3 linked regions of the Struthio camelus genome follow. The protein of the gene in region 3 purifies or fractionates together with the protein of the main gene of each other region. This does not show direct contact. Links are inferred from orthologs where the notes say so. Each region holds a gene or a part of one and is shown on either strand. Other genes may lie near its edges. The genes, in order: RBL2, SIRT1 and E2F1.

The links.
Region 1: the proteins of E2F1 (region 3) and RBL2 purify together in Homo sapiens (affinity purification with western blotting; 3 studies listed by BioGRID and IntAct, with this or other methods). This does not show direct contact. The link is inferred for Struthio camelus from reciprocal best matches to the Homo sapiens genes E2F1 and RBL2.
Region 2: the proteins of E2F1 (region 3) and SIRT1 purify together in Homo sapiens (affinity purification with western blotting; 3 studies listed by BioGRID and IntAct, with this or other methods). This does not show direct contact. The link is inferred for Struthio camelus from reciprocal best matches to the Homo sapiens genes E2F1 and SIRT1.

What each region holds. Positions count from the first base shown.
Region 1 is NC_090951.1:18,707,277-18,711,018, forward strand, and holds the start of RBL2 (retinoblastoma-like protein 2), read left to right. Parts: upstream 1-1,075; coding exon 1,076-1,285; intron 1,286-2,365; coding exon 2,366-2,496; intron 2,497-3,742. UniProt on the Homo sapiens protein: Key regulator of entry into cell division. Directly involved in heterochromatin formation by maintaining overall chromatin structure and, in particular, that of constitutive heterochromatin by stabilizing histone methylation.
Region 2 is NC_090948.1:38,574,683-38,578,424, reverse strand, and holds the start of SIRT1 (NAD-dependent protein deacetylase sirtuin-1), read right to left. Parts: upstream 2,814-3,742; 5' UTR 2,794-2,813; coding exon 2,307-2,793; intron 1-2,306. UniProt on the Homo sapiens protein: NAD-dependent protein deacetylase that links transcriptional regulation directly to intracellular energetics and participates in the coordination of several separated cellular functions such as cell cycle, response to DNA damage, metabolism, apoptosis and autophagy.
Region 3 is NC_090959.1:2,871,042-2,874,783, forward strand, and holds the start of E2F1 (transcription factor E2F1), read right to left. Parts: upstream 2,204-3,742; coding exon 2,015-2,203; intron 67-2,014; coding exon 1-66. UniProt on the Homo sapiens protein: Transcription activator that binds DNA cooperatively with DP proteins through the E2 recognition site, 5'-TTTC[CG]CGC-3' found in the promoter region of a number of genes whose products are involved in cell cycle regulation or in DNA replication.

The sequences.
Region 1 (3,742 bases), on a different chromosome or scaffold from region 3:
GTTTTGTAAGGAGACTGCGGTTTCTCACTGGAGGAACCAGTAAACAGAAGTCCTGTGGGATGAAAAAAGATTTCAGTGCCTTTCTAAAACATCTGAAAATGTTTCTTATGTAAAATTTCAATAGGCCATTAAATTAAAAGTGGCCTTATTTTAAAAGTTTACTTGAATGGTCTCATTTAGAAATCTTACATCACTTACAAAACGCGGTTGCTTAAAAACGGGAGGAGGTATGCCAGTATAACCACAGCATCGTCACCTTATCCCTAACCTAGATTTTGCTTATCTTTTAATATTTTGGGATTTTATTATTTAGATGAAAAAAAGTGATTTTGAAAGAGTAGATTAGTATGTATCCCAATAGAACGCAGAATACTGTGACAAATTATAGTTGCTTCTTTAGAAGAACAGTGTAAATGGCGGTTGGCATAGGCCCTAACGGACCACCAGCCGGCGCTGCCCCTCCAGGCCTCGCCCTAGCCCCTGTTTTCTGGCGCCACCTGGTGCTTTCAGAGCGGACTGCAACCGTGCGTCCCCGCCCGGGCGAACGCTTCAGGGTTACGCCAATCCCGCGGCCGTTTCCCCCCGAGGCTCCCGCTGCTGTTGGCGGTGAAGCAGCCGTCGTGCGGAGCCCGGGGCCGCAGCGGAGCGCCTCCGCCATGCTCCCTCCCCCGCCCTCTTCCGCCGCCGCCTAACCTTGTCCCTCCGCAGCCGCCGCCGCCGCCGGAAGTGACCTCGCGCGCTCCGACGCGGTGGCGTCACGAAGAGCACGGTGCTTCCCCGCTGCATGCTGGGAGCGGGAGGAGGAGGAGGGCGGGAGGGGGCTGCCGCGCGGCATTGCGGGAGGGGAAGTCTGTGGCGTCGCCGGGGCGCGCCTGCGCGCACCGGGAGCGCGGATAGGTTGGGCGCCCGCAAGCCGTCCAATGGGAGGGCGAGGCGCGGCGGAGGGCGGGAGCGGGGCCCAGCGCCGGGGCGTTTGGATTCGAACGCGCGTCGCCAGCCGGCGGGGCGGCGGCGCAGGCGCAGTGGGCGGCGCGGCGGGGCGGGGCGGCGCTGCCCCCTAGCGCCGGGGCGGGGGATGCCGGGCGAGGAGGAGGACGAGGCCGAGGCGGCGGGCGGGGGCGGCCCCCCCCACCCCGCCGCCGCCGCCGCCCCGTCCCCGCCGGCCGAGGAGGGCGACACGCGGCAGCGCTACGAGGAGCTCTGCAGCAGCCTCAACATGGACGAGCGCGCCCGCTCCGAGGCCTGGCTCAGCTACCAGAGCATGAAGCGCAACTACACGCTGGAGGTGAGGGGGCGGCGGCCCTCGCGGCGCCCCTCCCCCCGCGGCCGTTGGAAAACGAACCCGGGGCTCGCGAGCGCCGGACAGCGGCTGGGAGCCGGCGCGGGGCCGCGCCGGGACACGGTGTGGGGAGGGGGGGTTGTTTTATTAACGGAAAAGCAAACGCTGATGGCGAGCCGTGCTGGAGTTACGTAACTCTCGCGCGAGCAAGCGGAGGGGTTAGCGTTAGCACCTCGGCTGGTACTAACTGCAGTCCCGGAGCTGCTCAGCACCGCCAAGGGCCCCGGGGCGCGGGGGTCCTGCGGCCGAGGCAGGGCAGGTTTCGCTCGCCTTGGCGGCCGTTTGCCCTGCGGTGCCGGGCGCTGCGCGCACCTGCCCCAGGGAGGAAGCGGCCCGGCCGCAGCGCACCTCTGCCCCGCTGCTCTTGATCGTCGGCTGCTGAGAAGCTCGGAAGGGGCGGCCTCTCGGGGGGTCTGCGCACGCTTGTGCCCGCGGTAGCAGGCGGCCCGGGAAACCGCAGCCGTCGCCGCCTTCTCTGCCCCCTTCCTGTCGTTCGCCTCCCCTTTAAACGTTGCAGTTTAGTCAAAGAGGCATAGTTACGGTTGGAATTAATTTCCGTCTTTAGGAATCGCATCGAGTAGTTATTAAGCCGCATAACAGAAAAACGGAAACTGTCTTTTCCTATTCCCCTGTTGCGTCCAGGGAAGAAGGTTTTGATAGTGAGCAACTGCTGCGATTGTAACGCCGAGGCAGCGCAGGAGACGAGCAGTGCTGAAAAGAAAGCATGCTGTTAAACTTCGGCTCGCTGTGAAACTTATTAACGTAACTTGTAGTTGATACGTTTCTGTTTTGACGTAATTCAGTGTTAGCATCTGCTTTTCTTATCGTTCCGGCTTCTTAGATGGTCCTGTCTAGCAGTACCGTTAAATAGAGCTTTGAGGTAATGCATCACTCTGCTGTTGCTTGAACATTGTTAGCGGAGAGTGTAATCAGTTTTATTCTTTTTCTTCGTGCTGGGTGCATAGCTGAAGAGTGTGTTTTTCGTTTTGATCGAGTCTTTTCGATGCCTGATGTTTCATTTCACAGGGAAACGATCTGCATTGGCTAGCGTGTGCCTTGTATGTGGCTTGCAGAAAAGCAATTCCAACTGTGAGCAGAGGGACAGTTGAGGGGAATTATGTGTCCTTAACCCGAATTTTGCGCTGTTCAGAACAAAGGTAACTTTTTTTTTTTGCTGGTTTTTGGAATTTTTAAAATCTTAATCGCTGTGTATCGACTTGAAAAATTTAGAAATTGAGAGGAAAGACTGAACATCATTCTTGTTTCCTGCTTTTATATGTAGAATTTATACAATCAGAATGTTTGTGCTATAGCTCATTGCCACAGATGTGGGATAGCTTCGTTTGGGCATTAGTACCTAGCAAAAACACTGATTTTTTCAAATTCAGAGATTGCCCTCCCACTCTCAAAGGGAGGCAGAAACCAACTTCTGGTTTTGAAGAAGGTGCAGCAGGTGAGCTTGCCTGTTCAAAAGCCTAACGTCTGCATGCGTGTTCTGCTTAGAACAAGGTCTAATACACTAACATCAGAAAGCATTTTTTAATTGACTGTGCAGACATTCACACGTTTTCGGTTTTGTGGAAGAAGACTTCACTTTTCATGCGTTCTTACTTTACGAAGAGAAAGTGATATCAGAATCTGATAAACACATTTTTATCAAATGTTTATTTCTGTAAAGTCATGAAGAAAAACTTCATGAAATAATTGACTTTATGTATCAGCAGTATGGTGGTTTTATAACAATTACATGGACTGGCAAATAAATGAGCATTAGTTATGCACTTTCTCTCCCATTCTCGTTTTCTGTTGGATATATTTAAACAAAGCAAAGGAGTTTCTTTAAAAAAGCTTTTTCAAATCAGAAATGCAGGGAGCTGAATATGGGCTGTAAAAGACTAACAACATTGAAAAAGTAGGTGTACAAAAAACAGTGCAAAAATTAATGAAAGTTGAATTTATGAAATGAAATTTATTGAAACACATATAAAAATGTTTTACTCGCTTTTTTTTTTCATACTTTTAGAGGTATTCTTAGCGTTGAAGAGATCGGAGTTTGTTTTTATTTAAGCAGATGAGTTATTCAGAAAAATGAGAAAAACTTGATTTTATAGTAATCTGAATACTGGAGTTGATTGCACTTGTGTGAGGAAAAACCAATAAAGAACTGTAAATACATATAGTTAACACGATCATCAACAGATACCGAAATATTTTTCGAGTTGTCTGAGCACGGTCTTGTTTGGATGAAGGACTGGCTTTGAGTACGTCGAACTATAGTTATTGTCATGCTTGTTTGCAACGCTGCCATTTTATCAGTAGTTTAGGAAGTAAACTATTTCCTAAAATTGTACTTTTAAATTTTATTTACTTACATCAAAATATCTTTCTCCAGAAATTAACTCT
Region 2 (3,742 bases), on a different chromosome or scaffold from region 3:
CTATTTAAAGACAAAATTTCTATCCTACATTTACCTTTTTTTTTCCCCTCAAGTTTGTAGATATTATTAGAATTACTGCAGGATTTATTATATTAATACCGGCCTTCAGTGGCCTGGATGTTGGCCTTAGTGACTTTTCATTCTATAAAGTGCTGGGCACTACGGTTTTTTGTATTTTATTTAAAACAATTCCAAATGTCTGACAATTGTAATTCCTTTCTCCTACAATCTTCACTTCACACAGCTCTCATTCTGAGACTGAATACAGTTAAATTAATGCACCACCATTTACAGATCAGTCGTCAACTAGATTTTAAGAGCACAACACTAAAAAGACCCACAAATACGCAGTCAGATACAGCTGAGTTACACACATTTGTTGGGCTGCTATCTGTCAGCTGAGCTGCAATAGCTGACCACATTTGCTGTCATAACTGAAACAGGATAAAAGCCTGTACACACTGTACACACTTTTATCCTGTTACAGTTATGACAGAAAACGTGCTGTCTTCAACCATCTGCATGAAACTCAACTCACCCATTTTACCTTGCAGCAGGGTTTGGTTAAGAGCACCACAGAGCTAAGGCCGCTGGCTGAGCCTAAGCAAGCCAGAGTTAACTCCATCTAACTCGACTGTGCGTCTAGATTAGGGAGCCCAGAGAGGAAAGGGGTACTTGTTTCACAACACACGTTAAGCTCACTGACGGAACGGTTAGAGGGAAGCGTCAATGTCACCCTCAGCACCTTATCAGAATATTACCCACTAAGACTTTTGGTTTGTCCTTTCCATTTGTTAGAAAACAGGTACAGCAACTGTAGCTTAATTTGTTGAAAAATCCAAGATCATAACCAAATGAGGACAAGTTACAGTCATCCTCTCCAAAGCAAAGAATCTTTATAGCAGTTTTCAACCTTCAAAATAGTGTTTCAGCTAGGTTACTTCACTCTTAAATAAAGAGCACCACAGAACACTATTTTTTATTCAGAGACTGCGTTGTCACATTCTTCACCTTTTCCTCATTTGCATTAATACTTTATTCTGATTGGAATGGAAAAAGAGTAGAGGACAGAACTGCACTTTTATATTTGCTGTTTTGTTCTTCTGCACTTACTATTTCTTATTATTAATCCAGACACTTGCAGCAGTTTTTCATTCCATCTCATCATGCATTAGTACTGATGTGTGCTAATCACTTCTTCATAACTCTTTTCTTCATAATTGCAATTATGAAGAAAGAAAACAAGTGATTAGTACACATCAGTAAATGTGAAGTGTTAAGTTTTAGTAAAACTACCTCCTATGTCTACCATGTAAGGAATCAAAGCTACATTGTTAAAAGACTCAAATCACAGAAAGGTCACCCATTATCTTGTATTTATGAAATGCTGTGATAACCAGGCTAAAGTAACTGTTTAAATTGTAACACTCCCTGTGCAGTTATTTGATTCCTCAGAGGAATAAAGGCAATTCTTGCCAGAAGTAACTGATACAAAGCAGAACATGCCCAGGATTTGAGTAACTTGAGCAAGAAGGCTTCGTCCAAGGCGTTTACAAAGGAATCGTTAGTTCAACTCTCCTGCTGCTCCAATGAAGTTTTGGAGCAACGGGGCTGTCCACGCATGCCGTGCGGCCCCTGTTCCCTTCCGCACAGCTCCGCCACCAGCACAAGTTGTCTGCAGAGCTTCACTCAGCTTAAAGGAAAAATATCTTTAACTGCATGTAAAGGCCTTACTGGCAGAACGCAACGTCTTTTACTGTTTAAGAAGTCTCTCCCAAGTACCACCTTAAAAAAAAAAATTCAAGGTCCTTGCGTACAGATACTGCCCAAACAGCATGCCTGCAAAGCACATGTTTTTAGAGGCCGAGAGTTCAGTTTCGCGCTCCGGCCGCTGACATCGCAGACAGGGCTGTAACTAGAGTTTACTGCAAGAGCTGGTGGAGACAGCTGCTCCTGTCCCTTTCACAAACGCTTCTGAGAAGCACAAGCGCAAATACGTTATCACAGCAGCAATCGTGAGGAGGAAACGGGGCTCGGGATTTTTCATTTCCAATAACTCCTTACTGCCAAAAACACAGCTCCCAGACAACAAAAACAAGAAAGAAAGAGAAAGAAGGTGTCAGAGACGCGAGCGGAGCCGGCCTCCTGCCCCGAAGCCCGGCACGAGCGGCCAGAGGGGCGCGAGCAAACCGGCCCGAGGCCGGGCAGACAGAGGCGCCCGCCGGCTCCCGCCGGCGCTCAACGGCCGCGACTAACGGCACGAGAGAGCCGCGCCCCGCCCCGCCCCGCCCCGCGCCGCTGCTCACCGGGCTGCGGGGCCGGCGCCGCGGCCGCCCCGTTTGAACACTGCGCCCGCCTGCAGCCAATGGCCGCCGCCGCCGCGTCGTCGCCGGGCGCCGCCTCCGCCCCCTCCCCCCGGCCCCGCTGCCGCGGCTGCCGAGGCGGCTCCGCCCGGGCCAGGCCCCGCGGCCCGGCCCTATTGTCCGCGCCGCTCCAGCCTGCCGCCGCCGCCTCGCCGCCGCCGCCGCCGCCGTCCTCCTCGCTGCCGCCGCCGCCGCCGCGCTCGGCGGTCACGGCCGCCGCCGCCGCGCCGGGCAGCTCCGCCGTCACAGCGGCGGCGGGCGCCGGCCCCGCGCCGCGGTCCGGGTGCTGGGCGGCTGCCGCTCCCCGCCCGCCGCCGCCGTCTTCCGAGTCGAGGCGCTGGCGTTTGGGAGCGGGCTCGGCGCTCTCGGCCGCGCCGCCGGGGCCGCCGCCGCCGCGGGGCTGGAGGAGCGGAGCCTCCCCGTCCGCCATCTTGGAGTAGCAACCGCCGCCGCCCCCCCTTCTCCTCCTCCCTCCCTCCCGCCCGGCGCAGCGCGCAGCAGCGCCACCGCCCCCTCCCCCACCCCCAGGGAGCGATTTAAACGCGGCACGTGACCACGCCACCGCCCACGCGGGCACCCGCCCCGCCGCGGCCGCAACAACAACAAACCGGGTCACGTGACGGGGGTAGGCCGCGGCGGGGGGGGGGGGGGTGCGGCCAGCGGCACGTGACCCCCGTGCCGGCTGAGCCCTCGCGCACCCCCCCCCCCGCGACGTGCACACCCCTCGCGCCACGGCGGTTGCTCGTCACGTGGCCGCGCGGAGCCCCGCCCGCGAGGGGGCGGAGCGCCGCCGCTGAGGGGAGCGTAGCGGCCGCCGCTGAGGGGGAACGTAACGGTCGCTCCGGCCGGGCCCGGGGCTGTGTCCGGTGCCCGTGCGTTGCCCGAGCGAGGTCGGGAGAAGGGAGGCGCCGAGTTCTGCCTGAAGTTTGTTTCCCCTCCCCGAAGTCCGCCGCAGGAGCTGGCGCCTGTGGTGGGACAGTGCCCGGCAAATGGCGGTTCCGGGCTTCCGTCGTAGGTCTACCTGTTTCTCCCGTTAAGTATTTACAAAAGAAAAAAAGAGAGAGAGGAAAAAAGCCCTCGCTCTTCTTTACAATGATCTTTAGAACGAGGATATGAAATACGCAATGCGTCTTGCTGAAGGGGGGGGGTGGGGAAAGGTGTTTCCTGTCACTGACTTCATCCCTTCTGTTGGATTTCTCTGTAGCTGTCTTGGGGTGGTGGGATTAAACCTGCCCCCAAAAACTTGTAAGGATCTCTCTCTTGGTACATTTGCCTGTCAGGTAACTTTACTGAAAGGTCTGTAAATGCTTTTCTGTAAACGTGGAGCTGGCTGACCTGAGGATAAAAAGGGAGATACTTAATGGATTTCAGCCTTTGCT
Region 3 (3,742 bases):
CCGGGCCGTCGGCAGGCTCTCTGCTATGTACTGGTGATCCGTCTCCAAGTTCAGCTTCCTCTTCACCTGCAAGAGACGGGTGGCTCCTCAGAGGACCGGACGGCACGGACATCGCCGTACCCCAGCACGTCCACGCTTCTGTGCGACGGACGCACGGCTCTGATGCGGAGCCCCAGGCACCCGCGCGGCTCAAACACAGGGGTCTGCTCCCAGCCCGGCCCCAGCAGCCGAGCGCCCTCGACAGGGAGGCGTTGGTGGCCCCACCTGGGAACCTCTGCAAGGGGGGACACCAGGGATTCGGCAGTGCGGAGCCTCCTGCGGCCGCAGCCTCGCACACCTCCCAGCTGGCCAGCCCAAGCGCATCCCTACGGATGGGCTCTCGGCACGCGCAGCCTCCTGCCTGCCCGCGGGCCACGGCGGAGGCTGTGCCGGCTGCAGGCACCCCGGGCAGGTGACAGCACCCGACCCCGGTGTCCCTGGGGTGCAGAGCCGGGGTGCTGCCTGCGCCCATCGCCGCTCCCTGGGCGGGCACAGTGTAAGGCCACGCAGACACCCCCAGAGCGTTTCTGAGCCCCAGCACAGATGGGATTAACTGGCAGGAGCCGGGAAAGCGCAGGGCACCCGATCCTGCTGCCAGCAGAGCAGCACCGGGCGCCCACCGCCACGCAGCCCGTGAGCCCAGGGGGCTGCAAAAGCACCGGCCACAGCGCTCTGCTCAGCCTCCTGCAACAAAAGCTTTGGGTGACCCGTCAGAGGGGGCTGGCCGGGCCCATCGCCCCCGTCTGCCACGGCGGGGACCGAGGCGCCCCACGGCAGCAGCCAGGCAAACGGCGCGTCTGCGAGGGACCGTGCGGCAGCGGGGAACGCGCACCCGCGGCACCGAGCGCGGCACGGCAACCGGCCCGGGCAGAGGGGTGCCCGATGCCGGGGCGCTCCCGCCCTGCGCGCGTCCAGGGGGAGCCAAGGAGCGGGAGCCGCCGGCCAGCTCGCAGGCGCAGCCGGGGGCCGGCCGCGGAGGGCTCCTGCGCCAGGGAGCGCTGCGAAGCGAGCGCGTCCCGGGCGCGCAGCAGATGCGCCGCACAGGAGGGGAGGCAGGAACCCGGCCCAGCTCGGAGGCGCGCGGCTTCCGGAGCAGGCAGCGCCCAGCGGGGCCGCGGCTCCGCCGGCCTGACGCAACCCGGGGAGCGGGGCCCTGCTTGGCAGGTGTGCTGCGTGGCAGGGCCTGGCCCGCGCGCCCCACGGGGCGCCGCTCGGCACGGCCCGGCCCGGCGTGGTGCGGTGCACAAAGACATTGCATAGCATGGCACACGTAACATGGTGCAGCACGGCACGATATAGCACAGCACTGTGCAACACGGCACAACATAGCACGGCACGATATAGCACGGCATTGTGCTGCACGGCACGACATAGCACGGCACAATATTCCACGGCACTGTGCTGCACGGCACGACATAGTGCTGCACGGCACGATATAGCACGGCACTGTGCAGCACGGCACAACATAGCACGGCACAATATAGCACAGCACTGTGCTGCACGGCACGACATAGCACGGCACAATATAGCACAGCACTGTGCTGCACGGCACGACATAGTGCTGCACGGCACGATATAGCACGGCATTGTGCAGCACAGCACAACATAGCACGGCACGATATAGCACGGCACTGTGCTGCACGGCACGATATACCACGGCACTGTGCTGCACGGCACGATATACCACGGCACTGTGCTGCACGGCACGATATACCACGGCACGATATAGCACGGCATTGTGCTGCATGGCACGACATAGTGCTGCATGGCACGACATAGCACGGCATTGTGCTGCACGGCACAGCATAGCCCGGCACGACATAGCCCGGCACGACATAGCCCGGCACGACATAGCCCGGCTCGGCGCTGGGCCGGTCTAGAGGCCCCGCCACAGCCGCGGGGGCCCGGGCTCGCCGTTCCCGGTCCGCGCCCCCCGCCCCGCCCCGTCCCGTCCCGTCCCGTCCCCGGCGGTTACCGGCGGGCGGCCCAGCGCGGGCCGGCGCGGCGCGGCGCCCGGGCGGGCGGGCTGCGGCGTGGCGAAGAGCAGGAGGTCGGCGTCGGGGCGGCCGCCGCCCGGGGGCTCCTCGGCCGCCGAGACGATGAGGAGGCGCGGGGAGGCGCCGCCCAGCAGCGCCGCCAGCCCCGCCGCGCCGCCCGCCGCCATGGCTCACATCGCCGGCGGCGCGGGGCTCGGCCCTCACGGCGGCGCGGCGGGCAGGGCGCGGGCGCGGGGGCGCGGCCGGCCGGCGGGGGCGCGGCCCATGCTCGGCGCGGCGCGGCGCGGCGCGGGCGCGGGCGCGGCGCGGCGGCCCCGGCGCGGGCTGGCCGCCGCCCGCGGGTATTGTTCGCCGCCGCCGCCGCTCCCGGCCCCGCACGCCTTTGCGCGCCAAATCCTTTTTGCCGCGAAAGCGGCGCGAGCCTCGCCGCCGCCCGCCCATTGGCTGCGCCCTCCGCCGGGCGCCGCAGCGGCGGCGGGCGGCGCCCCCCCATTGGCTGACGCCGCCGGATTGATAGGCGGCGCCGCCCGCCCCATTGGCCGCGGCCGGCGGCGCCGGACGCGCTGACAGCCGGCCAATCGGCGGCGCCGCGCCGAGGGAGGGGCCAATCAGGGGGTAGCTCGGGGACGCTGCGGCAGCGCCGCGTGGGTGAGGAGCGCTCGGCCGGCCCTTAAAGGGGACGTGCGCGGCGCTCCTGGGGCCTGTGTTCCCCGGCCCCTCTCTGCCCCACGGCCCCTCCCCCCCCCAGGCCCCACAGCCAGTGCCCCACGGCCCCTCTCTGCCCCACAGCCAGTGCCCCACGGCCCCTTCCCCATCCCAGGCCCCACAGCCAGTGCCCCACGGCCCCTTCCCCTCTCTGGGCCCCACAGCCTGGGCCCCACAGCCAGTGCCCCACGGCCCCTTCCCCTCTCTGGGCCCCACAGCCTGTACCCCACAGCCAGTGCCCCACAGCCAGTGCCCCACGGCCCCTTCCCCATCCCAGGCCCCACAGCTTGTACCCCTCAGCCCCACAGCCAGTGCTCCACGGCCCCTTCCCCATCCCAGGCCCCACAGCCAGTGCCCCACGGCCCCTCTCTGTCACACAGTCTGAGTCCCACAGCCCTTGCCCCACAGCCCCTCTGGTGCCCTGCAGCCAGTGCCCCCCAACCCCTTCCTCTCCATGCACCCCGCTGCCTGTGTTCCCCCCGGCCTCCTGTGCTCCCCCTGCGCGGGTCCCCGCTCTGCCGCGACCCACGGCGGCTCCCTCAGCCGGGGCCAGCCCTTTGCGGCCCAGGCCCGGGGCAGCTGGGTGGGTGCCCGGGTGCAGGGGGGCACCCGCCCCGGGGGGCAGGCGCGGGCGGTGCTCTCCCCGCCACGCTCGCCTCGGTGGTGCCTCCGTCGCGAGGCCGGGGGCACGTTGTCCTGCCTCCCTTTGCACCAGTGTCGCAAGGAGAACCCATCCGGGGAGTTGCTCCTGCCGGACCCCCTCGCGGCCCGCTGCCGGGCTCCCCCGCGGGCGCAGGACCGGCCAGGCCGGCTCCCCCACGGGGGTCACAGCACCGGTGCACAGCGTATTTGCAGCCTTTGCCCCACGCATGAGCGATGTCACTCACTGAATTGCTGTTTTGCAAAGCAGGTTTCAGCCAGCCTCTCCCCGCTCCGTGTCATCCCCTAGGATCTGGCGTGCGCCCGCATGTGCTTCTTTTTAAACTGTAAGGTACGGTGCC